Linked DNA regions of Lonchura striata. The protein of the gene in region 2 interacts with the protein of the main gene of each other region in a pairwise test. Links are inferred from orthologs where the notes say so. Each region holds a gene or a part of one and is shown on either strand. Other genes may lie near its edges.

Region 1 (16,255 bases), on a different chromosome or scaffold from region 2:
TAAAGGGCCACTCCCCGCAGCCAGCCCCAAACCCAGCAGCAGCAGCACAGCCAAGTTTGGGGCACGCAGGGGAGGGCCAGGCTGGAGTGCTGCGAATGCAAAGCTGGCACAGGGCCCTTCTCTCAAGGCATCCTGAGCCCAGCTCTGCCAAAGCCAGCCCAGCTCTAATCCTGAGCCCAGCTCTGCCAAAGCCAGCCCAAATCTACCCCTGAGCCCAGCTCTGCCAGGGCCAGCCCAGCTCTAACCTGTGACAGGCACATTCTTCTCTCTCTCAGGATTTTTTTCATAGAGGAGCACAGAGGAAAGAAAAACAATTTCTATTTCTGCTCCTTGTTTTTCCCATGTGGAATGTGTTTAGAGAATTGCTTACCTGGGGTGATGCTTGGTTGGATTCTGGTGAGGATTGTTTGAGCCTGGTGGCCAATCCAACCTCCCTGGGGCTGGACTCTCAAAGAGGGGCATGAGTTGTGAGTTAGATATGGGAGTTAGTTAGAAAAAATAGGTTTGTAGTTTTAGTATCTCCTTTAAATAGTATATTAATGTATTACAGCGTAGTTATAATAAAGAAACCATTCAGCCTTCTGAGCTGGAGTCAGACATCAGCATCTTCCTGTCAATCCACTGGATTCACCTGAATTTACAATCCTAACCCTGAGCCCAGCTCTGCCCCAACCAGGCAGGGACAGGAAGGCTGGGCAAGGCAAGTGCCCGGGGCAGGGATGCTCTGCCTGGAGCAGGGAGCAGCCTCCAGCAGTGCTGTGCTCTCACAACACTCCTGCCTCTCCTCTGGAGGTGCTGGGACCAAGGGCTTTCCCTCAACACCCCGAAATTCCAGCAGCTTTTGCTCAGCTGCTCCAGAGGGAGCAATGGGGAAAAGTCAGTGCCCAGCCAAGAGCAGCAAGGTGCCTCCCTGTGCCCCCCATGGCACATCACCTCCACACACAGGGCAGGGAGGGCCTAAATGGCACTCCAGGGACCCCAAATTCACCCTGTCCTCGTCCAGCCACTCCAGTTCACCCTGTCACTTGTCCCTCTGGCTCTGCTCACAAGCCCAGGCTACTCCATGTTGCAGCCAGCCCTGGGGAGGCAGCAAAACTCAGCAACACGAGTGGCAGAGCTAAACCCAGCCCTGCAGTGCCACCTCTGGGGAGCAGCACGCTCCAGTGCCAGCTGCAGAGCGCCAGGAGCGCCTGGCAGCTCCTCGGTGCCCACCTCCCACGCTGCACCAGCCCAGTGCCATCCCCAGCCCAGCACGGCTGGCAGGTGCAGGGCTGAGCAGAAAAACACAGCAAACACCGCTGGGCCTGGCAGCCTGATGTTTATTTGTCTTGCCAAAGAACACTTTGCCCAGCCAGGAGCCCAAACCCCAATGTGGGGAGGGCAGCCAGGGGATGCCAAAAGCAGCAGGAAGCTCCCAACGTCGCGGTGCTGCGCTGGCCTGCACAGCTCCAGCACTGTCCTCCCAGAGAGCAGGGCTGGGCTTGGGATCAGGGGGGCAAACACCACCCCCAGCAGCAGGGGAGGCAGGAAATGTGTGCAGGACGTGCTGATGAAGGTGTGACACCCCCTGGAGAAGGAAGGGCTGGGGCAGGACAGGCCTGCCAAGGGCCACACGTTCCCAGCAGCAGAGTGTGCTCCACACCCATCCTGCCTGGGGAACACCTCACAAGGGCACAGCTGCTGAGCACCCCACCCTGCCAGGCCTAGGCCAAACCCCCCAGAAGGGTGGGAGAAGCTTGAGAGGCTGCAGTCCCCAAAAGGAGGAGGCAGACAGCTCTTTCCAGCTCAGATCACTTGATTCACACCCGGGACGTCTGTCCTTCCCTTCTCACATGCTGACCAGAACCAGCAGCCAGCGAGGCTGGGCTGGAGGCAAGCCCAGCCCTGTCCCCAAGCATTCCAGCAGGCTGAAGGTCTCCACCTCACAGGATCTGGATGCCCAGCTCCTCAGCTGTTTTCTGCAGCCTGTCCATGACGTTCTCCTCCAGCTCCAGGGCCGGGGCTGCCATGCCCTGCTGCTCCGAGGCCGTGCTGGCCATCACGTAATAGACAGTCTCACTCTGGCCCTGCTCGTTGGTCCTGCTCACCACACGGATGATGGGGCTGCTGGTGCTGCTGGCTCCTTGCTCTGAGGAGGAGGAGGAGGAGGAGGAAGCTCCTGGGAAGGGGCTCGGCCGTGCTGGCTCAGGGCTGGGAGCAGAGCACAGGGCTGGGGGCACGGGCAGCTCGGCTGTGCTGCTCTCTGCTGGGGCAGGGTTTGCTGGAGGCTCCAGAAGGATGCCCTGCAGGCTGCCCTCGCCCTCGGGCAGCACCACGCTGGGGCCATCCAGAGCCTCGCCACGCTTCTCCCTGTCCTGGAGCAGCTGCTCTGTCAGCTCCACGCTCTCGTAGCGCACCAGCTGCAGCCTCATGTAGCCATCCTCGTGCTCCCTGTACCTGGGCACAGACAGGAGGGGTCAGCCAGGCACAACCCCCTTCCCAGGAGATGGGCAACAGCCAGGAAAGGGCACAGCAGCTGAGGTTTCCATCCCTGTGCTGCACAGATGCTGTTTCAGCCTCTACCCCCATGTGGCAGCTTCAGAGCTTTGTGCCAGGCTCAATCCCCTCCCCAGCCCCTCTCTTTCCACCACTCTGTTTCACCGGGAGCATTTCAAGTCCTTCCTCTTCCCCTCCCAGCTTTCAGGCTCTGGAAACCCTTTGGAGTTTCCTCCAAAGGAAGCAGAAGCTCCTGTGCCAAGATGGATCCCTGGAGCTGGCCCCTGCCCAGCTCAGAATTGTCCCACAGAGGCAGCAGTGATGGCACCACCGCTCTGGAGCTGCCAGGCAGCGCTGCTCAGATCCCACTGAACATTTACTGCCCAGTGCCTCCCAGCCACTGGGAAAAGGGTCTTGAGCACATCTGCAAACATCAGAGCCCAGGCACTGCCAGCACAACGCAGGGTGCAGCTCCTGCACTGCAGAGGAGGCACCGAGCAGCTAAAGGTGAGCAGTACCTGAAGCGAGGATGTCCCGAGGGCCATTTGAACTGGTGCTTCTTCCTGAGGTGGACAGTGAGGTTGTTCCCCCGTGTGAAGCACTTGTCACACACGTGGCACTTGTACCGCGGCTCGGAGTCACCCTGAGGGACACAGAGAGCGACATCAGAGACAAAAAAAAGCTGAGAAGACTGACAGGGGGCATCACGAGCCATGGCTTCCCACCTCGTGGACCTTCCTGTAGTGCAGTTTGATGGAGCAGAGGGAACGTGCAGAGAAGCTGCAGGCCTCGAACTCGCAGCGATACGCCGGCTCCTTGCTGTGCGTGTCCAGGTGCTTCCGCAGGTCGATGAGGTTCTTGCAGCTGTGAGGGAGCAGAGCTGCAGCACACACACCCCCACACACCCACAGAGGCTCTGGGAGGTCGGGGAGGGGGCCAGCACTGGCCCTCACCTGTAGTCACAGTAGTCACACTTGAAGGGGCGCTCCTCGCTGTGCCGGAAGCGGATGTGGTTGCGCAGCGAGGAGGGCAGCGGGCACGTCATGTCGCACAGGGGGCACTTGTAGTGGTTCACTGGGCCAAAAACGGGGAGGAAACATCAGCCCAGAGCAGGGCAGAGCAGCCAGCCCACGGGAGCTGAGCTGGGAGCTGGGGCCTGCACTCACCGTGGTTCCTCATGTGGTCGCGGAGCAGCCTCTCCGTGGCAAACCTCTTGGAGCAGTGGGAGCACTGGAACCTCTGCTCTGCACAGGGAGGGCACAGGGAGAGCAGGGCAGGGAGAAGAGCACGGAGAGCGGCGAGCAGAGCTGTGCCAGGGGGCTGGGAACCCTGCTGGGCAGCCCTGGGTCCCCACAGGAGGAACAGCCCCCATCCTGCCTCTGCCAGGAGACACTTCCCGGAGGACACGGCCTCCAGCTGGGCCAGGGGAGGTTCAGGTGGGACATCAGGAGGAATTTCCTTATGGGAAGGGTGAGCAGATGCTGGAAGGGGCTGCCCAGGGAGGTGGGAGAGTCCCTACCCCTGGTCAGGGCACGGCTCGGCTGCCAAGGTGGGGATCAATCCCAGGCTGGACTCAATCTCAGAGGTCTTTTCCAGACAAAATGGTTCTGGAATTCTGTGGCTCCCACCACTCAGCAGCCAAGCCAGGCTGCTCCAAGCACACCCTGCCCTTGGCTCACAGGGTACAGACAGCTCCAGCCACCCAAAGACCCCAGCCCAGGACCCCCCAGCCCCTCCCTGCCCCCGGGGCTTACGCTCCAGGGCGGTCTGGCGGCGGATGTGGTCGAAGAACTTGGTGTTGTTGGCAAACATCCCCCCACAGGTGGGACAGGCCACCACCTTCTCCTGCGTGTGGCTGCGCAGGTGCTCCCGCAGCTTGCAGCGGCCCTTGAAGCTGCAGTTGCAGTCTGGGGAGGGACAGCACAGCTGAGAGCCCTCCCAAGGGACATAGCCTCACTCAACAGCAGCTTCTTCATGCTGTTTTGGCCAGCAAAGCTCCAAAATCCCCGCAGGGCAGAGCGAGATCGGCACGGTGCAAACAGTGTGGGCTCCCCCCAAGCAGTTAAGGCAATTGCACAAACACAGGAGGAATGAATGAAAGAAATCAAAGTAAAAAAAAAATCAGCTTTTCTCAAAGGTGGTGATTACACATAAATAGGAATCACTCAGCTGGATTCGCCGAGGGAACTCCTGCAGGAATATTTCACGGTCAAAACCATGAAATTTGAAAATCTGCTTTTGAAGGCCAAGAGGCTCTCTGAAAGCTGCTCCCCTGTACGTGTTTGCCACCCAGCCCAAAGCTCTCAGGAGAGGCCCTGCAGGCTCCCACTGACCTTTCCAGCCACAGAGCAGCACGTGGTTCTCCTTCCCTGCTGCCTTGTACTCGGAGCAGAAGCTGTGATCCTCCACGTGCCGGTAGAACCACTCGGGGTTGTCAAACGACCTCTGAGGGGGGCAAGGACAACAGGACAGGGTGAGAGAGAGCACAACAATCCAGGATGCTCCCACACAGCTGCAGAGCCAGCAGCTGGGCAGCTGTGCTGCAGCACTGTCGGGGTCTGCTTGCTTGGAATGACCCCAAAGTCATAAAAGTCCTTGTTCCCCTAGCCTGGCAGCTGAAGGAGAGGTCTGGAATGAGTGAAGTTGAGTTTTCCAGGTTGTTTATTCTTTCTGATCTATAAAATTCTCTCTCTGACCTGCCGAGCTCTGCCTGGTACAGAAGCCAGAGCAGTCTCCCCTGAGCCTCGGGCAGCTCCCACATCAGATACTCAGAATTCCGTGTTGTCTATTTACAGATTTGTGCCAAAGCCCTCCACCTGTGTTAGACTGTGAATCTCTGCCTTGAACCAACAGAAAAGTGTCACCAGCACAGCAAGGCATGGAGGGCAAGAGAAAGGGAAAAAGGCGGGGACACCCCAGATTCCTCCATCTTGTACCCCTGAATTACATCCTAAAACAAAATTCCACTTTTCCACCCTATGTCAATTCAACTACCACACTGCTCAAACCCTTGTGGTTTGTAACTCCTCATACAGAGTTGGCAGCTTTTTCCATGGGCTAAAATGGAAGCCACAGGTGGTTTTGACTCCGTGCCAAGGTCTGGGGACAGCCAGAGGGAAGTCCTGGGCTCTGAGACTGCCCAGCAGCACCTCCCGTGTCCCACAGAGCCCCGTGCTGTCACCTCACAGTACTCCCAGAGGCAGAGGAAGTCCTCCTGGATGTCAGGGATGATGTTGTGGCTCTGGAAGTCCAGCTGGCAGGGGCTGAGCCCCGCCTGGCCCTGCAGGGCCCGCAGCCCCCACTGCTTCAGCTTGCTGTGGTAGCAGTGGAAGTAGACGTGGCGCACCAGGTCGGCCGAGCTCGCCGGGGAGCAGAAGCCACAGCCCTGCCACAGGCAGGTGTACTCCTCTGGAATGGACAGACAGACAGACAGATGGCTCCTGTGGGACACAGACTGACTGACAGACAGACGGACAGCTCCTGTGGACACAGACTGACTGACAGACAGACAGACAGATGGCTCCTGTGGGACATAGACCAACAGACAGACAGACTGCTCCTGTGGGACACAGACTGACAGACAGACAGACAGATGGCTCCTGTGGACACAGACTGACAGACAGCTCCGCTGGGACAGACAGACAGACAGACAGACCCCAACCTTCCCTGGGCACCCCAAACCTCCCTGGGGACTCCAACCTTCCCTGGGCAGCCCAACCCTCCCCGTGCAGCCCCGCCGCCCTTTCCGTGTGGAAATTCCCCCTCAGGTCCCCGCTGAGCATCCCCGGGCGGCAATGCCCTCCTGCTGCCGTTCCCCGCGGGCTGTGCCCTCCCCTCAGGGGCCTGTTCCGAGCCCCCGGAGCCGCCCCGAGCCCCCCTCACCCAGCGGGTCCATCTGGGCGCGCTGCTCTCCGGGCAGGTGCTGCCGCAGGTGCTGCGCCATGTGCCCGCAGAACTCCTCCATCCCCTCCGCCGCGAACGAGCACTGCTGCCACTCGCAGCGCAGCACCACGGCCGCCTTCCCGCCGCCACGGCCGCCCGCCATGGCCCGGGCCTGGGCGGGGCTCCCGGGATCGCCCCGAACCGGCCCCGAACCGGCCCCGGCCGCGGCCGCGGCCTGCTCCGCCCCACGGGGGACACCGCGAGGCGGCGCACCGCGCGCGCCCGCCCGCCAATCAGCGCGCGGGGAGCCGCGGCCTGCGCGCAGCGCCCGAGCGGCCCCGGCGGGAAGCAGCGCTACGCCACAAAGGTTCCCATGCGCTTAATTCCTTAAGGAAATCCCTTAGGAAATCCCTTAGGAATTCCTTAGGAAATTTCCTTGGGAAAAAGCCGGGCAAGGAGCTGCGAGCGCTCCTCACTGACAAAAACCTCTGCCCGCCCATCCCTGGGTGTGTCCCAGGTGTTGGGGTTGGGAAAATCCGGCCCCGGGAGCTGCGAGGGTTCCTCACTCTCTGCCTGCCCATCCCTGAAGTGTCCGAGCTGTTGGGAAACACAAATTTTAAGGAATTTAGAGATTTTAGAGGAGATAAAACTTACAATTTAAAGATTTTAGTTAGAGATTTACAATTTAGACATTTTAGTTAGAGATAAGTCTCGCTAGAGTTCATTAAAATCAACGAGTAGGCCTCGATGAAGTTAAGGCTTAGTAGTTAACTAATAATTGCTTGTCAACACAATGTTTAGTTAGCTGGGTTTATAATGAAGAGTATAAAAACTGAAAAACAGCTTTTAGGAACACGTGAAAAATGCGTATTTTATGATTGGCTTTTCGCAAATATTATAATGAATATTATATGTGTAATGTTAGAAAGTGATGCTGTATTAATTCTCTTAAGTAGCATGTTAAATACAGTTTCAGGCTCCAACATCATGTTAAAATAGAGACTATGGATGTGGGGGGAATTCCTTGCAAATTAAGAACTTTTCTGGGTTTTGTGAACTTCTTCCCCTTAACCCTGGTGGTTCCATAAAGACAGAGAGGAGGTGGAAGGATGTTTGTCTGTTCTGATAAGGAGGCAGAAACTCTTTAGGTGCCCTGTCGCTGTTATCTCTGTGTGAAGAGTTTCTTGATTATCTCATCCCTTTCTTGAGCTAGGAAAAAATATATCGCAGAGTTTCTATTTTAACATTGTGTTGTAACCTAAAAATAGATTTTTAACACACTATTTAAAAAGGATTACTGCAGTATTACAAACTAACCCTCCACAACACATATAGAATTCAATTGAATATTTGCCAAAAGCCAATCATAAAATCCGCATTTTTCACACTGCCCATGGCAGCGGTGGAACGGGATGGGCTTTAAGGCTCCTTCCAACCCCAACCATTCCATGATTCCGTGATAATTTTTGGTGCTTCCGGAACAATTCCATCCGTAAACAAATCCTCACACTGAAAATCCATCCCTGGGTTGGTTCGTCCAACAGCAAACACAAACCCCACCAGTTCTGCAGCTCTTTGCTGTGAGATAAAACAACAAATTCCCTCTGCTCCCTCATCAGGTGGAATTAAATTCACATTTACTGTCCCAGCTGCTCTTTGTTACACACAGCAGAGGCACAGCTCCCAAAATTTGCTTTGGCACAGGTAAATGCCCTTTTAAAAAGGGTTTTTAATGGTTTAAACCCATTTTTGAAAGGGTTTTTAAGGGTTTAAACTCCTTTTAAATACTATTTTAAAGGGTTTAAACCCCTTTTCAAAAAGGGTTTTAAAGGGTTTAAACTCCTTTTTGAAAGGGGTTGTACAGAACGTGCCCAGGGTGTGTCATGCCAGGACACAACAGCTCCTGCAAATCCCACCACATCCCTACGGAAAACACTGCCCAAACCCACCAAAGTATCCAGAAAATGTGGGTGTGAGGATTTTTGAAAAGAAAACACCAGGTGAGAGGTTTGCATCTCAAAGAAGCCTGCCCGAGCTTTTGATCTCTGTTTTCAATGGATGGATCCTTGCTTTTTGCACCATTAAATGTGTCCTGCATCCTTAAAGAAAACGGGATCAACACTTTCTTTTTATCCCATAAAATGTGTGCTGCATCATTAAATAAAATGGGATGGATCCTTTCTTTTTGCACCATAAAATGTCTTCTGCATCCTTAAATAAACAGGGATGGATCCTTGCTTTATACCCCATAAAATGTGTCTTGTACCATTAAATAAAATGGGATCAATCCTTTCTTTTTACCCCATAAAATGTGTCCTGCATCATTATAAAAAGGGATCGACCCTTTCCTTTTGCACCATTAAACATGTGCTGCATCCTTAAATAAACAGGGATGGATCCTTGCTTTTTGCCCCACAAAATGTGTCCTGCATGCTTCTTTCTCAAGCGACAGAGTTCATCCCTGTGCTGGGCAGAGCCCCTGGGAGCAGCAGGAGGAAGAGCAGGGTTTTACCTGATGGCCCCACGAGCTGGCAGCAGACTCCAGCGGGAGGGAGATGGAACTGGGAGCAGCAGCCCGGTGCCAGGCTGCCCCTGCTTTTTCCTTTTCCTTTTCCTTTTCCTTTTCCTTTTCCTTTTCCTTTTCCTTTTCCTTTTCCTTTTCCCTTCCCTTCCCTTCCCTTCCCTTCCCTTCCCTTCCCTTCCCTTCCCTTCCCTTCCCTTCCCTTCCCTTCCCTTCCCTTCCCTTCCCTTCCCTTCCCTTCCCTTCCCTTCCCTTCCCTTCCCTTCCCTTCCCTTCCCTTCCCTTCCCTTCCCTTCCCTTCCCTTCCCTTCCCTTCCCTTCCCTTCCCTTCCCTTCCCTTCCCTTCCCTTCCCTTCCCTTCCCTTCCCTTCCCTTCCCTTCCCTTCCCTGGCAGCTCCTGCCCCAGGCACAGCTGGAGCTGTGCAAAGCCCAGAGCAGCCTCTGGGCTCCCAAAAAGTCAGAATTCCTGCCCAAGGGAGACCTCCAACACCCCGTGGGGGTCTCACACCCACACAGGAGAAAATGCCCATCCCAAGGCTTGTTTTCCCTGACAGATTCCTCAGCTGGAAGAAAACTTCCTCACTGCAAGGCTTGCCAGCATTTTGCTTTGCCACGAGGTTTTTCTGCCCAGAAACCTGCATTTTTCATCCATGAAATGCCAGCTCAGACAGGAAGGAAGCTCCTGGGGAAGAACCCACACTGACCATGCAAAGTGGAGCGAAACCCAGATCCAGGGATTTGCATTTAAGCAAATCCCAAGCGAGGTATGGTGCTGGAGACATCCCTAAATTCTAGAAAACCCATTTCCGCCAGGCTCAGCTGGAAGTGTCCCAGGGAGTTGTGAGCACAGGCTTCACTCTGCTCTGGGAAGCTCATGAGGGACAGATCTTCCCCAAATTCCTGCAGGATCCGGGAGCTGGGACTCGTCAGCAGCACCAACAATGGAAGCAGGTGAGTTCCAGCAGCTCAGATCTCCACAAGCTGAGGCATCTTCATGGCAACATCAGGGAAGGAACAAACTGTGCTATCCTTGGGCTCCTATTGAAAAAAAAACCCACAAAAATTTGTCTAGAATAGACATGTGACATCTTAAATGCCCCCAAAATTTAATAGTATCAATTAACGTGTTCTGCCTTCTCCAGATTGAATTTATATTCCTTCACAGTGCTATGCTTTATTATCATTATTTTTTTTTTCAAAAGGCAGTTAGATCAAAGTGATGTGAAATTGGATTCAATTTGCTTGGAAATTATATCAACTCAGGCCTAAATGAGTATTTTCTTCCCTGGTGCTGCCAGTGGAAGAGTTGTCTGAAGTTCTGACAGCTCAGCACCAGAAACCTCTGGATAATCCACTGGAAGCAGCGGGTTCAGCTGTGTGATAACTTCAGCCTGGGGTTAGAGGGGTTGAGTGTTGCTGAATTAAAACAATTTGGGCAGAGGAATAATTGAGGATGTGATGTGAGCTCCACAGCCCAGAGCAGCAGAAGGGTGTGGAAGTGATTTTCTAATGCCTTCAGAGCACAGCAAAGGTGTCAGGAAAACCTGCAGAGCGCCAGACCTGCTGGAATTCCTCTGTGAGAGCTGATGTCTATTTCTGAACCACTTTTGTTGCATTTTTTTGGGGTACTCTCACCTCATTTTTGGCAATCTGTCCCTTGCTTTGTGTTTGCTTTGTGCCTGGCCTTGGCTGAAGCTCTTTGATCAGCACTCAAACACCAAAATGAAATGCCACTCGCCCAAACTTGCAGCTGCTATGCCCCCAAAAACTTAAAAAATTAAAAAAATTAAAAAATTAAAAAAATAAAAAATTAAAAAAATTAAAAAAATTTAAAAAATCAGCAATTTGGCCAAGCCAGCAGTGCGTTGTTTAAACCCTCTCACCTCTCTTGGTGTGTATTGTAAATGCACGTGAACCCAATGGGAAGAAATGACAATGCCTGACTCAATTCAGAAGGCTGAATGATTTCTTTATTAGAACTATGCTAAAATACATTAATATACTATATAAAAGGAGGATACTAAAGCTACATACTACTTGCTCAGACTCCAACACAACTGGTGACCCTCTCTGAGAGCCCAGCCCCAGGTGGGTTGAAAAGCCAGGGAAATCTCAGGAAAACGGGAAGCTGGACAAGACAAACAGATCTGAACCAATGTGGTTAATCAAACCTTCTCCCTTTATTGGAGATAAGATGGCAGTTTATACCAGCTCCTACATAGTTTACAAAAACAAAGACACTCTGATTGGCACACTAGCATCATTTAACTTTTCCTTAAGGTGGTCAAACTTTTCACACTGCAGCTCTGCTCTAATTCACGCTCGGATAGCTGATTACTTTGTAATTACCTTAACATAATTTCTGACTGCACCACGACTGAATTCTCACTGCATCAAAGGCTTCGAGGCCCCATCAAGGCTGCTCATCAGGCCTAGTCTGAGTGGGTAGCTCAAACCTCCTTCCAAACATAAATCATGATTTCCGTCTCTCAGAAATTCTGCAACAGGGTTGGGTTGGCCACCAGGCTCAAACAATCCTCACCAGAACCCAACCAAGCATCACCCCAGGTAAACAATTCTCCACACACATCCCACACGGGAAAAACAAGGAGCAAAAATAGAAATTGTTTTCTCTTTTATTTCTCTCTGTGCACCTCTATGAAAATCCTGAGAGGGAGAGAATTGTGCTGCCACAGGTGCGCGAGGCCACAAAGCCACCAGAAACGGAGCCAAGGGACACGTCCTGAGGGGCAGGAGAGCCAAAGGCCAAATCCTGGGGATCAAAGGCATCGCCTGCCTCTGCCTCTGCCTTTCCAGGGATTAGCTTCAAAGGCTGGGAGGATTTTTCCGGGATAATTCACGGGGAAGCTCCTCCCTGGCTCCGCAGGTGCGAGCTGCGTTCAGGGCAGGATAAAAAAGCAAAGCTGTCCCTGCATTGTCCCGCAGCTCCCACCCGCGCCACAGCCCGCAGGTGCTGCAGTGCCTGGCGTGGGCGGGATGATGTGCTCCGACTCCCCTTTCATAAAGGAATTTGGAAATTAATGAAGTAAATTGTTTTCTTAAAGCAATTTTTTCTTTAAGCAAAATTTTGCTACAGTAAATTTTTATTAAAGTAAATTTTTATTAAATTTTTATCAAAGGAAATTTTTATCAAAGTATTTTTTATCAAAGTATTTTTTATTAATAATAAAAAAATAAAATTAATTTTACAGTTTAATAAAGTCATTAATTAGCCTTCTGAAATACTATTAGTGTATATATTAGTACTATATGCTAATATATATATTAGTATATAGTACTATATATATACTTATATATATATATTAGTATATAGTACTATAAATACTAATATATATATTAGTCTATATTATATATATAGTACTATATACTATATACTATAGTACTACATACTAATATAGTACTATAGCATGTATAGTACTATATACTATATACTATAGTACTATATACTAATACATTAGTACTATATACTAATATATACTAATACACGAATAATATAATATCAATACTACATTAATATAGTATAATACCGTTTAATAAAGGAATTAATTAGCCTTCTGAAAATCCTATAATTAATATATGATATATAATATATAATATATAATATATAATATATAATATATAATATATAATATATAATATGCTGCTATATTATAATATTTATTACTATTAATAATACATTGACATTTTATATTCTAAATCACTTTTCGATATTTTCTCTCTATCTATTTCTATATATGGGAATATATATTATATATATATGTAATAATTTCTATGTCTAGAAATGGATATCTTTTTGGATGACAACTCTTTCTTTATTTCTAGTATATTTTTTATACTTTATATCTAGTATATATATATATATATATATATATATAATATTATATATTTTTATACTTTATATCTGGTATATATAATATATATTTATATATTATATATATTTTAATATTTTATATCTAGTATATATATATATATATATATATATATATATATATATATATTTTATACTTTATATCTAGTATATTTTATATATATTTTTTTATATATTATATATCTATTTTTAATACTTTCCCCTGCCTAGCAGGAGCACAGACTGCTGCTCCGGGCGCCCTGTACTGCCCTGACCTGTGCCTTTGCTCAGTCCCCGCAGAGTTTGGCGCCCGGGTGTACCAAGGAGTGCGAGTGAAGCACACGGTCAAGGACCTGCTGGCTGAAAAGCGCTCCCGGCAGGGCAGCGGCTCCCGCTGCAGCGTGAGTCCTTTTCCCTTTTTTAACCCCCTAAAGTCCCAGCGTCCCGCCCCCTGCTTGCATTGGTCATGTAATGTTACTGTAATTCATTTAATTTTAATGTAATTAGTACAATGTTAATGTAATTAATAGAATGCGTGCCCCAAAACATTGCTGATGCCTCCTTGATTTCATATCTGTCTGTCTTAAATATCCCCTTAATTTTCCTTTTTTAATCGTGGCAATGCTGTTCAATTCCTCTTTCACATCCTACGTGTGACGCCTTCCCAAATTAACGCTGGTGGGCCAGGGGCAGGCGAAATGACTCGCACGATTTCAGAAGGCAAATGAAAGTTTATTCAAAAAGCGCTTCTCTCTTTTATAGAGAACATTGTGAACATTAATTCCTTTGGTCTTAGAGTAAAAACATTTCACCTGATTGGCGCACTGGACTTAGGTCAGTGTGGTAGAACATCCTATAAACCATATGAACAAACAAGATAATCAATGTTTACTTTCCTCTCAGACTTTTCCCCAGGTTTAGCCTGGCAGAAATATTTCTCTTTTTCTCCCTGACTGAACTGAGAATATCCACACCGAGTCGACTTCCTTTTCCAGCTACACCTGCACAAGTCAGTGCCCCGAAAATATCTGTTCTTCCCCAAAAGCTGAGCTCCTTCCAGCTCCTCTCCGAGTGCCAGGGATGTGATGGGCTGGAAAGAGGCCAAGCATCAGCCTGGAAGGGATGATTTCCTCTTAAAGTGCTTCTATGGCAACAGGAAACCCAAATCCTACTGCACTACATTGTTTTTTTGCTTTTTTTTTTTTTTTTTTTTTTTTATTCTCAATTGGCAGCCACAAAGCCAGGCTGTCCCCAGAAGGGGACACAGCACGGTGATGCCAGGATGTGGTGGCATCCAGGGGCACGAGGGGCCCTTCCCTGGGTGCTCCTGGCACTCACCTTTGCTGGGCAGCAGCTCCTCAGTGCCTGGGAGCCCGGGGATGCTGCCAGAGGAGGGGGAGCAGGAGCTGTGTCCTGCAAGGAGAGACAGGGAGCAGAGCCCCGGGTCACCGGCAGCACAAACTGGGAGTTCTGATGTTTTTTTCCCCCAAACCATTTACCTCTGGCTTTTTTTTTTATGCTGAAGAAGCCTCACGGGGATTTACTTGCTGTGACTTTCAGCTTCATTGACTGTGTGACAAAACAGGCAGGAAAACAAACAAACAAACAACAAAAAACCAGGATTGGGCATCACCAAACACAGCAAAATCCAGCCACAGATCCATCCCCACAGGCTTCAGCTGCTGCAGGGAGGCAGAAAGCCCCAGAGCCATGGAGAGCCACTGGGGAGGACACACTGCCAGCAGGCAGATAATGAATTTAGGAGGAATTCCTGGGGAGCAGCTGAGAAAACAGCTCCTGTTGGTGATATCCCCACGGACCTGCTCCCTCTCTGGAGGCGGCAGCTTCAACAGCCCCAGGGGAAACGACCTGGAACTGTAAAATCCTCCTGGCTTTATTGCCCTTGGCTTTGTGCTGCAGAGCCCAGCAGCTGAGCGTGTCTCTCTGATGCAAAACCAGCCCTGCTGCTCATTGCCTGCAGGAGACAGAAAATGATTGTGCAGGGCAAACATCCGTATTTGCTCGGATGAAAAGAGCAGCTGGAAGTGCAGCTCTGTTTGTCGGGCAGAACCCAGCCCAAAATCAAAGGCAGGGGCAGGTAACTGAGCACCCCTCTGCCTGTTGGTGGTGCAGGGTAATTCAGCTGCTTCTTTTGCTGGAGGGTGATGTTTGCTGCAGAAAGAAACGGTGAGTGATGGAGATCAAGGTGGGCTGTGAGGAAAGCCACACAAAATCTGGGCTCTGCACCACCTGCAGGGCTGCAGCCTGGCCTTTAGGGAGGCTCTGGCTTTTCCTTTGCACAGGTGTGAAGCTGCACTTGTCCTCCTCAGGGTGAAAGGGTTCCTGTCTTCTCCGAGGTGTGGAAGTGGGCACCTGCAGAGGTGAAGCAGTGCAGTGCTGTGGTCCAGAGAGGATTCATTGCTGAGCACCCAGCAGCACTCCCAGAGCAGGGACACACAGCCAGCACTGCCCTGCCCAGGCTCAGCTTTGATTTTTGGAGAATTTTTATTCCTTCAGCTGCTCCACTACAGACTGGGCCCAGAGAGGTGCTGCCCTGAAGCCGAAGCATTGCCACGGGGCAGGGCCAGGTCATGATTTGGAGCTGGATGCTTAAATTTCAGGCAGATTTTTCGGTGAGTTAGGAGGCAGTGAAGCAGCAGAGCTGTCTGGAGAAGCCCCAGGCAGGATCTGAGGCTGGCCATGGGCAGGGCAGGCTGAGCCCAGCTTACCAACAGCTGGACACACTCTGGGCCCCGGGGAGGCTGAGCAGATCCAGGCTCCCCATTCCCATGGCAGGGAGAAGAAGCAGAGCCGGGAGGAAATGAACTAATGGCTCTCAATTAAGGCCAGGAAGGAGCAAGGAGGGGAATGAAATGCAGGGCTCTGCTCTGATGAGGCCAAGGACGGGCTGCAGCAGAGGCTCCTGCAGTGATTTCAGGCAGCTAAAGCCCTGGTAGCTCCTGGCACCTCTGGGACTCTCCACCACAGGTGTGCACACACGGCCAGGCAGTTCCAGTGGCTGTTGAACAGACAGGATCAAAGATTAAATGCTCTGGAAATTGGAAATGATCCCTGCTGGAGGCTGCCAGCCATGCCCAGGGGCCTGGGCAGAGCATCCCAGCTCCCATCCCTGCAGCAGCTGTGCTGCCTGGACCTGCCAGCTTGGCTTTCTCCTCTAAAAGTGACCTGGATGCTGGGAGAGGACCTGGATTTGCATGTGATGGCTTCAGCTGGGGAGAGGTGCGAGCCCTGCCCGTGTGACAAGGACACTCCTCTGTCCCCAAGCTCTGGAGCTCCTTCCTGACACCTCCTGTCCCCTCCTGCCACCTCTGCAGGCTCAGAGCTGATTTCCCTGGAGGAGCAGGGAGCAGCTGCAGACCTTCCCTCGGCAGGAGAAGGAAGTCCTCAGGGCTGGCAAATTTAATTCAAATCTAAACCTCTAAATTTGGTTGCCTGCTGCGGCAGGAACCTCCTGTTTGCACTATGCAAACTGGACAGAGCGTGCCATC
Region 2 (16,087 bases):
TAATGTGGATCATCCCTATCTGATGAAACAAGTTATTTGGGTGAGGGTGAGAGCACAGAGCAGAATAACCACAAATTAATGCACTTCTGATTTCTGAACTCACATTGGCAAGCAAGTATGCAAGAGCCATCTCTCTTTTGGGCACTTATTTTCTTTTAATCACCTGAACCAGTCTGGAGAGCTGGGGAACAAAGCATGAATTTTCTGGAGCTTTTTGGTGGAAGATGATTAGCCCTGATTTTAGAAAACTTCCATCAATAGCCATAGATTTTTCACAGAAAAATAAGGTTTAAAACTTTTTGCAACTTACTGTTGATCTTGTTTTCTTGAGCTTGTGACTGGTTCACAAGCAGTGTAGTCAGTCTTGTCTGCGGCATGCTTTGATTTATTGTTGGCCTGTGAATTACTTGAGGAGGTACAACAGAAGAGGAATTCTGTTGCCCTGACTGATGGGCTACTGACAACAGTCCTGAGTTTGCAGTAGCTGACTGCTGAAGCATTCTCTGCCTTTTCATTTCTACAATTCCACTTCTTGTACGTACTGGAAATAAAGACAAGATGAAAATATATGATAAAGGAATTTCTAAAAATTACTGATATTCATACAAAATCTGTTTAAAAAATTTAAACAACAGAACACCACCCAATCCAATGAATCTCAAATCTGGGAACAATCAGTATCTATAGCTCACACTCTCTTTTCTTATAAAATACTCTGTAGTAAAAATACTACAGAGAAAAACTTATTTTTAAGTAGTCCAATTTTTCTTTGTTGATAGCTTATTTTCAGTTTTTGTAATGAAAGAAACAACTTTAGATACAACAAGTATGTTTTTGTATTTTGGCTGGATATATATTTGTATGTATGACAAATGCTACAAGACTGCAATATGTTTTTATGTTCCCCTTCTACAGAAATCCAACTGCATTATAATTAGACCAGCTATGTTTTTAGTTCATCTACGAAGCACAAATTAAGTCAGCAATTTCAGGAGTGAAGCAGTAGTTTTTAAACCTTTTAACCATGTAAACTTCCAAAGGAGTTTTTTCAGCAGAGAAAATGCTATAATAGAGAATTTATGCCCCTAGGAAAAAGCTCATCTTTTCTTATTTTCCTTTCCTGATCATTACAGCAATCCACAGACCACACTGAAGACAGCAGACATACATTACATACACCCCTATTTTTTGCTGAAACAGATAATTTTAACATAAAACCTACTGATTCCATGGAATTGATTCCGTTACTTACTCCTCTGGTTAGAAGAAAATCTGAAATCTGAATTCTGCATGCTCCTAAAAAATAAAGCAAGTAACAAAAATTAATGGAGCATAATGGAAGCACTCAGCTATACAGTGTGACATTACCTACCACATGGTTAATGTCAGTCTGATCCTAACCACACATTCCTTCAGAAAAATCCATTGGTTACTTTTTTTATTCTTTCCAACAATCGTCACAGATCCTTCAAGTGAAGCTTACTGTTTCATTTTTGATCAAGTAACCACAAAGGTATCAGATTCTAAATGAGTCATAGTGTATTGTTTTATTATAGGAAGACAACATGCTCACACTAATGCCCTCCTTATAATTTTTAAATGTCTGCTCAACTACTAACTCTAACATACCCATCTTTTTCACTGTCTCTCAAAGGAAACAGAGAGCTAACCATTCTCATACAATGATAAGGGAAGTTGGTCTACATAGGGACTCACTTTTAGAGTGAAATATTACTTTCTTAATTAAAACTACATTACCTGATCTGAGAAAGTGTATAGTCTAATTTTTTCCACAGCGATGACATCATTGCTGGAACTTCATTTGTTGTTTCTAAAATGAACCATAAAAAAAACCTAATTTATGCCCAAAACTGATATATGCTGAGAGAAAAGTAAAATCACAAACAAAATAATTATTATGGAGTGTTTCAGACATCATCTAACTTTAGATGTTTAGTTGCCTTCTTAATTTTCTATTAGACAGCCATAACTCCTAATTTAAAGAATTTTGATTGACATGGATACAGTTCTGGTTTAGAAGCCTTGATGAAACTGAATTAATTACTATAATTCTTGCAGGAATTTGCACATGGTGTTGTCTCCTCAGGAAACACATGCTAACCTAACCTATGCTAATACCCCCCAACTCACTTCTGGAAATGGTAATCATATTCCCAAGTCAATTTTGTGCCTTTGAAAATCATAACCTGGCAGACAGGCCTTTAAAAGTAATAGTTTATTTCATTATATTACCCAAACAGGTAAAAACATTTGGTCTTTTTGAAGCACCAAACATTAGAAGTGTGATGGAAAAGATAAGTAAACAATTCAATTTATTAAGTTTTTCAAGATGCTAAGTACAAAGCATTTTGAAGGAAGTACATCTGCATCTTAGTTACCATTTCCGTCAAACCTAGTGTGAAAGGAAAAAAATGTTCAGAAATGTTCCATGTATGATTTTTAATACCAAGCACCATTAAAATATGATCATACAACAGATATCAAAAGCCTGTAAGATTTGGAAACATTCAGAAGCTTGATAACTAATTTCAAAACCAGCAAATGCTCTAGCTCTGCCTATAATATTCATACAAAATATTAAGTAGTTCTGAAACTATTTTAGTCTTAAAAATAAGACAAGAAATATTTCATACCATAGGACTCCTTCTGATTATTTCATGGAATCATAGAATACCTTAGGTTAGAAGGGATCCATAGGGATCATTGAGCCCAACTCCGTGCTCCTCACTGGGCTACCAAACTCTAAACCGTGTGACAAAAAGCATTGTCCAGATTCTCCTTGAACTCTGACAGGGCTCAGTGCCATGACCACTTCCCTGGGTAGCCTGTTCCAGTGACTGACCACTTTCTCAGTGAAGAACCCTTTCCTAAGATCCAATTTGAATTTCTCCTGACACAGCATTTCATTTTTCTCACATTCTGTTGCTGGTCACCAGAGAGATAAGCACCTCCCCCTCCTATTAATAGTATGAACAATAAACAGTATAATTTCACAAGCGTAAACCCATACATTTTGCACATTATATCTCTATGCTTTTGAGATATAAAAATGCTCACATTCGAAGTAAAAATATATGCTGGCATATGCAAACTAAGATAATCAATTACTTTTGCTCACTAGATGTAGTGACTGTTGGCTGCGTAATACGTTAACCTTCAAAACTGTGCCTAAAATGGGGGATTACTCTAAGACCATACACCTCTTCCTCAAGTTCACAATACATAAATAAAAATAAAAGAACACCTCATTCTGAAGGCTTACCTTTTGTTTTCATGGCTACGTACTCATTAAGAATTGTTGTCAAGTTTTTTCCACACAGCGACTGGAAAAAAAACCAACTGATCTTAGAATTTTCACTAATAACTTCTACTTCCTCTGCTGTAGCACATCATATTTAAGGAGCTCTTCAACAGTCTACACCATGCTGACCCTCAGTACAAGGGACTGTACTTGGTAGAGAGCAATCAATGGTACAAAATCCTCTTATATACCCAAAATGAGAAGTACTGTATCTCAAGGCACAACACTGGTAGTTAGAGCTGTCTGACATTCACTCATCTTTTTTGTATTATTGAATAAAACCATGAAAATTAGATTATGAACAGCATGATGATCATTGTCTGTTACTGATGAGCAGTAACAGGCTAATGACTATGTATCATGCTGGGAAACAACATGCACTAAGATGGAAACGTGAAGGAACCTGTCTGAAGCAAAATTTTTAACAGTCACACAGAATTAACCTTCTTATCATGTTTACTTGTCCTGTTATTTTAAGTGACACAAAGATAATTAAAATTTTAAAGTTACCACTATTCTGTACCTTCCTCTCTTGTTTACTAGTGGGAACTCTACAAGACATGACAAATATAGCACTTTATTGCAAGTATTTGAGTTGCAGTAAGAATTTTGTCTTAGATACTATGATATCACTTTTAGGTGAATAATAGGAAGAACATTTCTACTGAGAAAAGGATGATTATAAAAAGTTTTATTAATCTGGATAACCTATATCTATATTTTTATAGGTTTTCTAATTTTTGCTGGCCATAGCTTGGTTCTCAACCCCCTACCACCAAAGTGCAGATAACTGAACACTTGTAAATAAAATAAATTCAATACTTTGTTTTGAAAAGGTGCATCAAGAAGGTGCACCTTGGACCTTAGGAAAAAACTTCCACGAATTATGAATACTATGGACAAAGTCCCAGACAATGAAATTAACTAATATACTAGAAGAATGAAACAGAAAACATGAACAGAACACACACATAAACACAAAAGGTTTGACAAACAGCAATACCTCAATCCTGTGATTTACAAAGTATAGTAAAAATTCCATTTTGTAAATTTGTTTAAAATGCAAACTATCTAATTATGGTCTAGAGCTCTACACATGTATCTAGAGATGTGGCTACACACTATTTATGCACACCCAAAATCCTGCCTTTCACCCGGAACAATGCAGATGATATCAAATAGAGAGGAGGCTGAACACAATTTTTGTCAATCAAATTTGTTAGACTTAAATAAATCTGAGGTGCCTTACCTAAATACTTACAATGCACCTGAAATGGAAAATTATTGGCTGCCATGCCTAGAATAGGAAAGTGATCTTGTAAATTACAGAAGTAGCCCTAAAATCAAGAAAACCCTTGTGACAACACCCTTCCATAAATCAACCTCAAAGCTGTAAAGCAGCCTAAGCATAATATTCTGAAACCAATTTGCATATTTCACGCTTACATTTTTCTTAGTAAGCATAAATACTAGAAACCAAATAACTGCTAATATCACAGGATGAAAAAAACACTAAACAAATCAAATATCAAACATTTTAAGCAGCATTTGAGAATTAATTGTTGCACTGAGAAATCCACTATATTGTTTTCCATGGATGCAAGACAATGTAAGTTTCTGCTTTGCAAATACAAACTCACCAGCAAGCAGGCTGGAATAAAACCATCTTCTGTACAGTGCTCTGCATATTCTTTCAAATCTGAACTTTCCAGAATAAATTGATGGCAGGTAGCTTGAAGATTTTCCTGTTGCAAATAGCCTGCAACAAATTAGATGGAAAATTTTGCTATTTCATTCATTATTTCTGCTCAATAGGTATCAAATCTGAATACAGTGCTGGAATAATCAGATAAAAATTTCCATGTAATAAAAGGGAAGTGTCATTATTTTGAAAATACATACGTTCCTACCAGATATTTAACAGTTAAAACCCAGAAGAGAAAAAAATATAGATTGTAATGACATTGTATTTTCAAAGTACTCAAAACTGGAAGTGAGGCAATATGAACAAATTTTAGTTTATCTTTACACACAAGAAAATAAATGTTCTCAGCTCAGAAGGCTGACAAACAAACCCTCATATGGGCTGAACCACCCTATTTGATACTTCAATGGAAATCTACAATATTTTGTTAATGAAACACCTTGCTATGTAAGAGTAATTCTCCACACATTGTACTGTTTCAAAATAGGTAAAACCTGTACAGCTGCTGCAATAGTGGATAAGATATATTAAAAATATTGGCACTGTACAAAAATTAGTAACAGAAAAGGTCCCCCCCACACACTTACAGAAATTTTCATTTAGGATAGATGTACCAGATGCAAATTTTGCTCTCTACACCCTATGAATCAGTAGTTACCATCACAGAAAATGTACTGACAAAGTTTTCTTTTCGTCAAATATGTTCTGCTTTAATTAAACATTTTAACCCTGCTTTAATCTTCAAACACCTTAAACACTAAAAGATAGAAATAGACCAATCTGAATGAAGGATTCTAAAACAAAGAAACACAGAGAAAATGTTTCTTCCTTCTCGCTCCTAGCAGAGCTTAGCATGGAATGTTTTAAGGATAAAATAAAACATGTGCCTAGTTGTACAACGCAGGATATATACATTATCTATTTCAATGGACCCCCAAAATGCTCCACCTCAGTTCATGAATACCTGCAGAAAAATGTGCCCTTTAAGTGCCGTTTAAATGAGAACAAATATCTTTCAGCAGATCTGAGTACAGCTGAAGAAAACAAATAGTATTTCCATCATGCAAGTCTTGTTCATGTCTTCAACAAGTAGGCAAACTTGAAAATTAAACACAGCCTGGGAATACCCACTGTGAATTTAATCACAATGTAAAAGCAGGCCTGACCTGACAGAAAACATCAGTAGTGCCTGCAGAAAGAAAAGGAATATCCTATTTAATTTTTCAATTACATTTTTCCTAGAAAAATCTCGAGCCACAAGTGGCTGAATGTGTATTTCTCCACAAACACAATGATATCTCACTATGGTCCAGGCTGGAAGATGGGGTATTAGGTTCAGAGGAGCTCTGATCTGTGCAGGTATGACTGCTCTTACAATCATCCTTACCTGAACACTTAACAAAAAAAGTTGCCGTTTTTCTTTCTTGAACCTACTACTACAGTATCACAAGTGATGACCGAATGTTTGCATACGGGCACGTTTGACATACACCAGTTTCCTGGTAATAAAGCATTTCAAAGGCTAAAAATGCCTGTGCATCTGGCCCAAACTGCTTGTGCACACACTGTATAATGACATAGGACACCAAAATCAAAGGCACAAAAGGTGTCCTACGTAGATTTTGAATGTATGGAAATTATTCAATATTTTGCTCTACCTTAAGAAATGTCTAACCCATAGTACACATTCACTCTATCAGATAGGAAAAGATAAATGTTCTTATGCATATCCTGTGTGTGAGCTCAGCTTATAATTTTAGTTTTGTTTCTTTAACAAATACTCATCAACTTTCACAGCACCAGAAAGATTTTGTGGGGGGCTTGGGGGAGAAAGGTGGAAGAGCTTGCACTGGGAAGTCTATTTACCACTGAAATTCAGAGATGTCTCACAGAAGAGGAATCCCTATTAGAGAATAAAAATGGTTACAAGGAATGTCCTGTTCTGCAACTTTAGGTTGCTCAGAGGTTTTCCAGACATGATGCATGCTCCGTGCCACAACAGACACAAGACAGGATGGATCATTCTCAGCACACAGGATGCCAAGATTGTGTGCTACATCTTCAGGTTGCTGGTAAGCACATAAGAAAAGCTTTCTACCTGGAAACTTGTAACTTCACCAATCTTGTTTGGAAGAGCGCAATGAGAGATCTCACTTGTATGAATTCAAATTTTCTTTTACAGTCCATGGAGTTTCTAAAAATCCTGTTACTTCACAGTAATAAAAAAATTGCATCTCTCACTAGCCTTTTTCTCAAGACAGTAGCAAGCAACAGTTCAGGTAGTATTTAAAAATAACTTGTGCTAGGGGAACACTTAAGAAGAGTTTCAGTTTTAATGTCTTTGGATTTTAAAAAACTGAAAACTGAATCTCACAGGGCAAGCTGCCAGGAAATCATGGCAACCTGTGCCAATAAGTACTTTGTACATGTGGGACTGAAATATGTGAGTCATATTTTTCCTTACCATCAATTTGCTCTCACCTTTGGCAGAATCCAAATAATCCAAAGCATAAAGTCATTTTTAAAGATTCACTGTCTGCTACCAGTGTCCTGAACACACTTACGCAGTGCTTTCCATAGACTCTGATCACGAGTCTGAACTCTTAAGTGCATCCTCAAAAGTGAGCGAAACACGGTCGAAAAGAAAAACCATCTGACCCTTAACGCAGCCCTCCCTGGGATTTCGGGTCACGCTTGGACTCCTGCAATCAGGAACTGTTGAAGCACGGCTCAGCAGCTCTCGGTGTGCAGGTGGGCACCGCAGACCGCCACGTTTCCCTGGACTCGCCAAGAAGCCGAGCCCAAGGCACGGCTGGGGAGCGGCCTGCTCGCTCAGCCCCGAATCCCCCAGCAGCGAGCACAGGCCGGGCCGGGGGGCGGCGGGCCGGCCCAGCAGCGCCCGGTATAAACGCCGGCAGCGACAATCCAGCCTGGGGGACCAAGAGACGTTGCCAAGGGGCAAGGGCGAAGCCGGCCGTGTCCCGCCGCGCCTCGGGCGGCTGACAATGCCCGGCACAGCCCTCCCGGTGCTCCGCGCCTCACCCAGGCATCCCTCCGTCCCTCCCGGCTCACTCACCCAGCACCAGCCGGGCCACGTCGGACGGCAGCAGCATGGCCCGAGGCGCAGCGGGGCACGGGCGGGCGCAGCGGGGCACGGGCGGGCGCAGCCGGCCGCCCCGCCACCCAGGCGAAGGCGCGGAAACTCCGCCAGCCAGCGCCGCGCCCGGCCCCTTCCGCCGGAACCCGCCGCGGCCGCTCATCCGCTTCCAGGTCCGCCCGCAGCCGCGGCTTCCACGCGTGAGCCCCGCTCCGCTGCGCCCCGCCGGGAGCGGGGCTGCGAGCGCCACGGCCGAGGTGAGGGGCTGGGCCCGGGCGGGGCGGCCGCGGCCCCGGCTGCGGCGCTGAGGGGCGGCGGCCCGGGGTTACCGGGACCGGGGCTGCCGGGACCGGGGCCGGGGCTGGCGGGGTTGCCGGGGCCAGGGCTGCCGCTCGGCGCTGCCTGCGTGCCCGTGCCGGGGCACCTCGCAGCGCCTCCGCCAGCTCCTCTCTCCGCCGTTCATGGTTTTGGTGCGCCCGCCTTCCCATGTGTCATTCATGTGCGCGGGAAGGCGGCCGTCATGGGATAGGTGGAAAACTAATCAGCAAGAGAAAGAGTACGTGGATTCATTCTTGGGAATTTCTCAGTGCTGCTGTTATGGTTGTTGGCAGCAGACGACCCTTGTTGCCGCAGTTTTCGATCAAGCGCATCAGAAGCCGCGGGTGTTTGAAAAGTTTGTTTCCGTTTCGTTTCCAGCAAGAGCATCGAGTCTGCTGGGTTGGGTTGTTTTGTGTTCCGGTGCCCAACCACCAGAGGGACAGAGAGTGGTTGAGCGCTGGCGCAGGCTCCCCAGGGAAGAGCTCTCAGCGCCAACCTGCCTGACTGCAAGAGCTGCTCGGACAACTCTTTCAGGCATTTGATGTGATTCTTGCGTCCTGCACAGGGCCAGGAATTGGACTTAGGGGATCCTTGTGCGTCCCTTCCAACTCAGGATGGTTCTTGAATTTAGTAAAGGAACATTTAATTTAAATAAGTGCGGTTGTGCAGTACAGGCAGCCTTCACACTTAAAATGTATTATTTTTCACACACATCTATGAGTCACCGAATCTCTGATCTTACTTAGTTCCAGCCTGATCTTGATTGACACCAAAGGAAATAAATGCAGTCTAAGACAGTAGATATTTAAAGTTTTGCTTATTTAAATGACGATTTTTGTATTGTCATGTAAGCACTCAAGATGCAGTGCTGTGCATCATGAATGCCTGTTCTCCCTTGCTTATTACATCCAGCAGCACGTGTTTGGAGTTACTTCCAGCTTGTGTGATCTGTCTTTTCCAAACAGGGTTTCTCTTGAGTCTACTTTAAGGGTGCAAAAGTAGAAGCAGAGGATTTAAATAGAATGTCATGGTTCTGATCTGCAACATCGTAACTTCATGTAATACAAGGTCTAGCTAATTCAAACCTCTATGGAAGAAGAAGCATACTTTTAAGTGATGACAGAAGGAAAAGTTGTTTTTTCATATGACTGATACTTAATCATCCTTTGGCATGTTTAGTCCCTGGGGATTCATCAATAGATAGTGCATACCTATGAAAATTTACAATGTGAGGGAGCATTTTCCAGGCGGTGCCTTCTCCTGGCAGTATCAGGTTAAGAGGGCTACTGAAAGTTAGGTCCACTTGCCAGAGTGTATTTAGCTCTGTCATTCTTACTATAATTGTCCTCTCAATTGTCTGCCCAGGTCTACTCAGCGCTCATGGGAAAGGGAGGAAGTCAGAATTATGTGATGGGGTTCTCTGCAGTTATTCTGTGACTGTTGTCTGTGGGAATAGATCGCATTCTTGACATGAAACTGCTTGAGTTTTCAACCAATAAGACTGACCCAGCTGCAAATGAGCTTTTTGGTGAAACATTGAACATCGTGGTTCTGTTTGATACTGGACTTTCAGTATACATTTTTACTGGGCTGCATGGTCAATAATTACTATTTTATCCATTTCTTCTGTGTGCAGATATAAATGACTCTTCTTTAAGCTGAACCATGAGTCTTGCATTACATGATCTGCTGGTTTGTTGTCGTCGCCTTGAAAATGAGAAAGCTGTGGAGCGAAGGGTAACAAGTTTTCTTTTGGGCAGTATACCTCAAATCGCAATGAAGGGAATCATAACAAATTATTCTTTTTGTAATACATTTTCAGAAGGAAATTGAAAATTTCAAGCAACTTCTCCGTGATTCTGAAACAGTTCTCCAGCTGGACCGGAATTCTGATTCTAAACAAGCAAAGCAACTCAACTGGGATGCTGTATTTAGGTAGCTTCTTGGTTTTGTTTGTGAATGGTCACAATTTTCTTGAATGGGACATGAATTTAAATAGAAGGCCAGAAAATCTATAGCAATTACATGACAAATACCGTGAAAAGTGTAATTTATTCATAGATCTAAGACATAATCCATATATTAACTTCGAATTATAAGGAAATAAGACTTAAAGGCTTTTGCAGTAAAAGCAATGATAAATACTTCTTATTATTTTGTTTTATAATGTTGCAGCATAAATAAAAATACTTAGCAATGCTTTTTTCTTAATTGTAAGTTGTATGTTTAGCACTGTGCAAAGTTTAAAGGAAAGTTTGATTCCTACTCCAAGTTGCTATGGGTTATTTTTAAAACTTGCGTCTCCTTTTATAAGCTGTTTTCCAGTCATGCTTGGACTGTAGTGTATTTCAGTTGGGTTTAGTCTTTGATAATCACAATTGTGAGAAGAACAGGAACTGGCATTTTAGCCTAAACCAACATTTTCCTATTTTACTTCAGTCATAAATGAGCAGATCCTTGGTTAATCTCTCCTTTATTTTTGAAGTGTCTTGCAGAAATATTTCCAGAAAGAACTTAAAAACCTGCAACTGACAAAACCAAATGCATCTGCTTCAACCCAAACTGCAAGACAGAAAAAAATACAAGAATTTGGAAGTTTGGTCAAATATTTCATCAGATGTGCCAATAAACGTCAGTAATACGTATTATCATATAGAGATACTGGTTTGGTTTGGTACTTTGCTTTCAACTTTGAATTTATCTTTGAAGTTACCAATGTAGGGCTCATCATATTTGCTTCCAGGTTTTTGCTATTTAAATATCTTAAGGTGAATCTGTCACTTGTGCTCCTTATCTGTCCTTTTTGGTGTTCACAGTGCCTTTTTCTAATTACTCAATGTGTCTATAACTGATATATCCTCCCACTGGTAATTTATATTTTAGAAACAGTTTAAGAAAATATTTCCTCATAGAACTGTTTCAGAACTGTAAGTTTGGTGTTGTTTTGTTTTTTTTTTAATTGGTAACATTTACAAACAATTAATTACAGATTTATTTGGTAGCATTTGTGTTAATTAAATAGTCTCATGTCGTTTCTTCATATAGGAGGACCCAGACTGAAATGTCAGGAACTTCTGATTTATGTCATGGAAATAATAAGAGATCCAATAAGTTGTGCTGCTTATGGTTCTGACTGTAGTAGTATACTGCTAAAGGATATCGTCTCAGTAAGGAAATATTGGTGTGAGATATCCCAGCAGCAGTGGTCAGGTAACATTTTTGAGCCTACTTAGAGATGTCTTTTCCTTTTGTAGAAACATATTTTAGATGTGTTTTCTTTTGTTTGATGTCCTGTTGTGTGAAGTAGTACAGAAAATATGGAGTAAAGCAGTGTCAGCCTCTGTGGGCTTACACTTGAAGTAAACAAAGCAGCAAGGATTAGGATTTGATTTTTTTTTCTTTGTGTGTACTGTTTGTCTATTGCTTGCTGAAGCATAAGTACTTCTGTACGGTCAGGTCATGTGTGCATGGTCTGCGCAGGTCACTGGAAGAGAACACAGGCATGGGGAGCCAGTGGGGCTTGCTGTGGGGTGGTTAGTTCCTTTAGGAACATGAAAGTTAGCTGAGTCTGTGTATGGGCAAAACTGGGAAGTGTGGCAGAAGAAATGTTGACATTAGGTTTTAAGGAGTACAGTGGAATTTAGTTACTGAGGTGAGGCAGGGCTGAAGGCCATAAATCTAGAAGAAGTCAGACTTTAATCCAGTAAGTGAAACAAGTTGTTTTTATTAAAAGAGAGTTATATAATCTTTGTAAAGGTTACTATAACCTTTTCTTGTGATTCCACCTTAATGCTTGCTCATAACTCTTGGGGTACATTAGAGAAGTCAGGTTTTTTATTTATAAAATCAGAGATCTATTGCTGTTGAAAGTAAGAACATGGATACTAGCTGTTGACCACAGTGTGGTAGTCTCTGTGTCTTTAATGCAATATTTTGTGTCAAGACTTTTTAATGTAATTCTCTGTAATATATATGTTTATACTTACCTCTATTTTTTTAATGCATTTGCAGAGTTGCTGACCCTCTATGGCCATTTATACTTCAAACCTTCAGGGAGCATTAATAGAGTCTTAGTGGCTAGGATAATTCATACACTTACAAGAGGGTACTGCTTCCAAACTGATGGGTTGTGTTCTGACATGCTTGCCTTCTTTTCAAAAGCAATGCAGTCTGCAAGGTATGTTGCAAGTGCTCCTTTTGTATGCTAGAAAATAACTTATATTAAGTGCTCGGGATTAGACTTGAGTGTTAACAGGTAATACTTCTTCAGATGTATTTTCTTCTACCTTTGAATGTCAATTAAGGAACTTGTCTAAAATATTAATAACTGCTGCATTTGTTAGGCAAATACTATTCAGAATGTTGTTACTTGTTAGTATTTACATTTAAACAGCACTTATGAAAATAAATAAGATAATTTCTCTTGGAAGTTTAAGTGTTAGGTTTGTGTTACAGGCAGGAGAGGAATATTGCAGGCCTGGATCATATTGTTGGAGCAATGAATATCTTCTGCAACAAGTTTGCTGACAACTGTCGCATGCGGATTTGCAAAGTAGGGGAAGAAATTTTGCCTACAGTGCTTTACATATGGACTCAGTATAGACCAAAGGATTCCCTGAAAGAATCAATAATTGAGTTATTTCGTCTCCAAGTTCATATTCATCATCCAAAGGGTGCAAAATCTCAGGGAAGAGGTACCATAAAAAACTTTTTTTTTTTTTAATTGCTGCATGTGATTGTGCCAACTCTGAATTTTGATACTGAGCCTTGGAAACATTAATGGTAGTGATGATTATTCATCAGTAGTTTTATGCTACAGGTTAATACTTAGTGAAAGTGAAAAGAAATTTTCAAATTTTATCCCCTGAGAGCATATTAATTGTATTAAATTCCTTTAAAGGTTGGGCCATCTTTTAATCAAAAGGCAGTTTCAATTGCTAAATAAAAGTACCAAGTCTTTGGGGAAAAGAAATAATAGTTTAGATTGCCAAATACATTTGGTGTCTTACCAGATCTATTTAAACCCAGAAATTACTTACAAAAATTATAAGTCAGTTGATTCTGACTTACACTATAAAATGGCTCAGAGAATATAACTCAGTAATTATGTTTGTTTGTCGTGATTTATTGTAGTTCTAGCATAATTCTTTTTTATACTTTGTACAAATCTATCAATTACCTTTAACTGTATTCTTTCCAGTTAGATGAAGAATTGTTTATTAGAAACTTAATTCCTATCCTAATTACTTCTATATGCTGATTAAGTTATTTCTTAATTTTTCCCCTTTTTTACTTTATTCGTTCTAATGTATAGAATTTGCTTTTCAGGCCTGCACTTGCTGAACTTTGTTTGCCTTACTCAGATTTTGTCTGTATTTTGCATTGTCTGGGTAGGTTTACATATTGGGTCAAATGGGTGATGCTATCTTTTAATTGTTTTTGCATGTACAGCTGCATATGACTTAACAAGGTGGCAAAGCATCTTACATAACCTGTATGATCTGCTGGTGAATGAAATAAATCTCATCAGTAGCCGTGGGAAGTATTCTTCAGGCTCACGTAATATTGCTGTAAAGGAAAATTTAATTGAGTTAATGGCTGATATTTGTCATCAGGTAACATTTTTATTTGAATATAAGATTGACTACATAATTACTGAGCTGTATGTTTGACTGAAGTATTCATACCTTTTGTCTGTGATCTGTTGTGTTTTGTTAATTCTGTACAGTTTAGAAATGTATTTTGCTTGTGTTTCTTGTTAGGCTATAAGTATTCCAGTTTTCTTGTAAAGACTGCTGCTTTTTTTTTTTTTTTTAATTTGCATACTTCTCAAATTCTCTTTCTGAAAGGTTTTTACAGAGGATACCAAAGTCCTTGAAATTACCCAGTCCTATGCTGTTTCACAAAGAGAGTCCAGTGAGGACACGGTGTCAAACAAGCGCAGGAGGATTGAGCTTGGCTGGGGTTCCATTCGAGATAATGTGCAAAGATCCCAGAAGGATTTTGATGTCATACCTTGGTAATAACATCTTTACATGAAAAAAAGTATCACTCCAGACATCTTTTTACATTTAACAGTCTCCTGAATATGTTGTGCCTTTAAGTTGGGTGTCTGGACACGCTGTGATTATATATCTAAGTAGTGAACTTAGATTGTCAGAGCATTTGGAAAGTTGCTCTAAGCTGGCTGTGGCATAGTACAGTAACCATTAAGATTTTGGCCGTTTTGGACTAGTTCACAGAGTTTTCTGTAATACCTGTCCTGAAAACTATTCCAAGGCCTGGCTTCTTACCTTGGACCTTGATTGAGGGGTATTTTTTTTTGGCATGAGGGACCTCTGAACTGTAAGAAACTGTTAGTGATAGTGAGGCTAGATGAACAGTCTTTACAAGTAGAAATGGTAGAAATACTGAATCTTTAACTTTTGATAATAAACAAATCAGCTCAATCCTGGAAAGTGTACATGAGAAATGCAATTGAAGAAGGCTTTGTTTGTTTGTTCATTTACTTCTGAAAATGCTGATTTCTGTATATTTGGTATTGATTCCTTCACTTTCTGTTTTCAAGGTTACAGATTACAAGTCAGCTAATATCCAAGTATCCCACGAGTATTCCTAGCAGTGAGCTACCTGCCTTACTCAATGTCCTTCACCAGTTACTGCCTCAGCAGCGCCGAGGAGAAAGGACTCCGTATGTGCTGAAGTGTCTCACAGAGGTAGCTTTGTGTCAAAACCAGAGAACTGATTTGAAAAGCACCCAGAAGCTGGAGCTCCAGAGAACCTGGGCAAAGATCTGGACTCTTACCATTCGCAGCGTTAGCCTTCAGCAAATTGAAGTGGAGAGCTTTGGGCTGCTTGGAGCTATGATTCAAGGGAACCTTGTTGTAACAGATAAAGAACTCTGGAAAATATTTTCAGGACCTGCATGCAAACCTTCAAGGTAAAATGGAATCAGTGGTAGTGTCTTGTGTCTGATTCACATTTCTCTTTACTGTACAAACAAAACAACTGTGTTACTCAATATTTTTGTTGATGTGACTATATTTCTGTTCAAAAACTGCACACATTTGTGTTCTAAGCATTTGAAATTATCATAAATACATAAAAAGACTGAAAGCAGAGGCAGAAGAGACAAGCATCTTCACATTTAGAATATAATAAAATTTTAAATGGATTAAAAATTTAAAGATCTGATAGACAAATGTTGATTTTTTTGAAGTTAAGAAGGATGTTTTCTTCTGAATTTTTATTCTGAAATAAGTACTCTGATATAGTCGTTAAGATAGGTAGGCAATGTCTGTAACAGCCAAGAAAAAGCAAAGATTTTAATTAAGGAATAGACCAGTATGCATGCTTTTTAACTTGCTTGTGTACTTGGTGCTTCTTGGGCCTGCAGAAATACTCACTTTGCTTTAGAGTGTTAATCAACAAATACCACCTGGTTTCTCCCTGTTCATTTTTGTTGCAGTTCTGCTGCATGTTGTTTATCATTAGTGATGTCTGCCTACTCAGTGCCAGAAAATTTGGACATAGGAATCGAACAGAATATTTCTGAGAGTAATCTGGGTTCTGTGCTAAGGGAGGCAATAATGAAATGGCTCCTGTCCAGCAATTTGGAGGAAGAAATAGATGAATGTGCAGAGTT

What was found.
Region 1: the proteins of NPAT (region 2) and HINFP interact in a two-hybrid assay, tested with the Homo sapiens proteins (2 studies listed by BioGRID). The link is inferred for Lonchura striata from reciprocal best matches to the Homo sapiens genes NPAT and HINFP.

The regions. Positions count from the first base shown.
Region 1 is NC_134625.1:9,237,724-9,253,978, forward strand, and holds HINFP (histone H4 transcription factor), read right to left. Parts: upstream 6,581-16,255; 5' UTR 6,521-6,580; coding exon 6,358-6,520; intron 5,884-6,357; coding exon 5,657-5,883; intron 4,921-5,656; coding exon 4,809-4,920; intron 4,383-4,808; coding exon 4,230-4,382; intron 3,720-4,229; coding exon 3,642-3,719; intron 3,550-3,641; coding exon 3,429-3,549; intron 3,340-3,428; coding exon 3,201-3,339; intron 3,119-3,200; coding exon 2,994-3,118; intron 2,437-2,993; coding exon 1,923-2,436; 3' UTR 1,300-1,922; downstream 1-1,299. UniProt on the Homo sapiens protein: Transcriptional repressor that binds to the consensus sequence 5'-CGGACGTT-3' and to the RB1 promoter. Transcriptional activator that promotes histone H4 gene transcription at the G1/S phase transition in conjunction with NPAT.
Region 2 is NC_134604.1:44,463,130-44,479,216, forward strand, and holds the start of NPAT (protein NPAT), read right to left. Parts: upstream 8,241-16,087; 5' UTR 8,141-8,240; coding exon 8,104-8,140; intron 5,082-8,103; coding exon 4,963-5,081; intron 3,345-4,962; coding exon 3,284-3,344; intron 1,832-3,283; coding exon 1,759-1,831; intron 1,297-1,758; coding exon 1,253-1,296; intron 542-1,252; coding exon 311-541; intron 1-310. Other genes in the region: serine-protein kinase ATM, read left to right, coding at 10,108-10,179, 10,265-10,377, 10,928-11,073, 11,488-11,652, 12,454-12,619, 12,898-13,136, 13,894-14,057, 14,292-14,461 and 2 more. UniProt on the Homo sapiens protein: Required for progression through the G1 and S phases of the cell cycle and for S phase entry. Activates transcription of the histone H2A, histone H2B, histone H3 and histone H4 genes in conjunction with MIZF.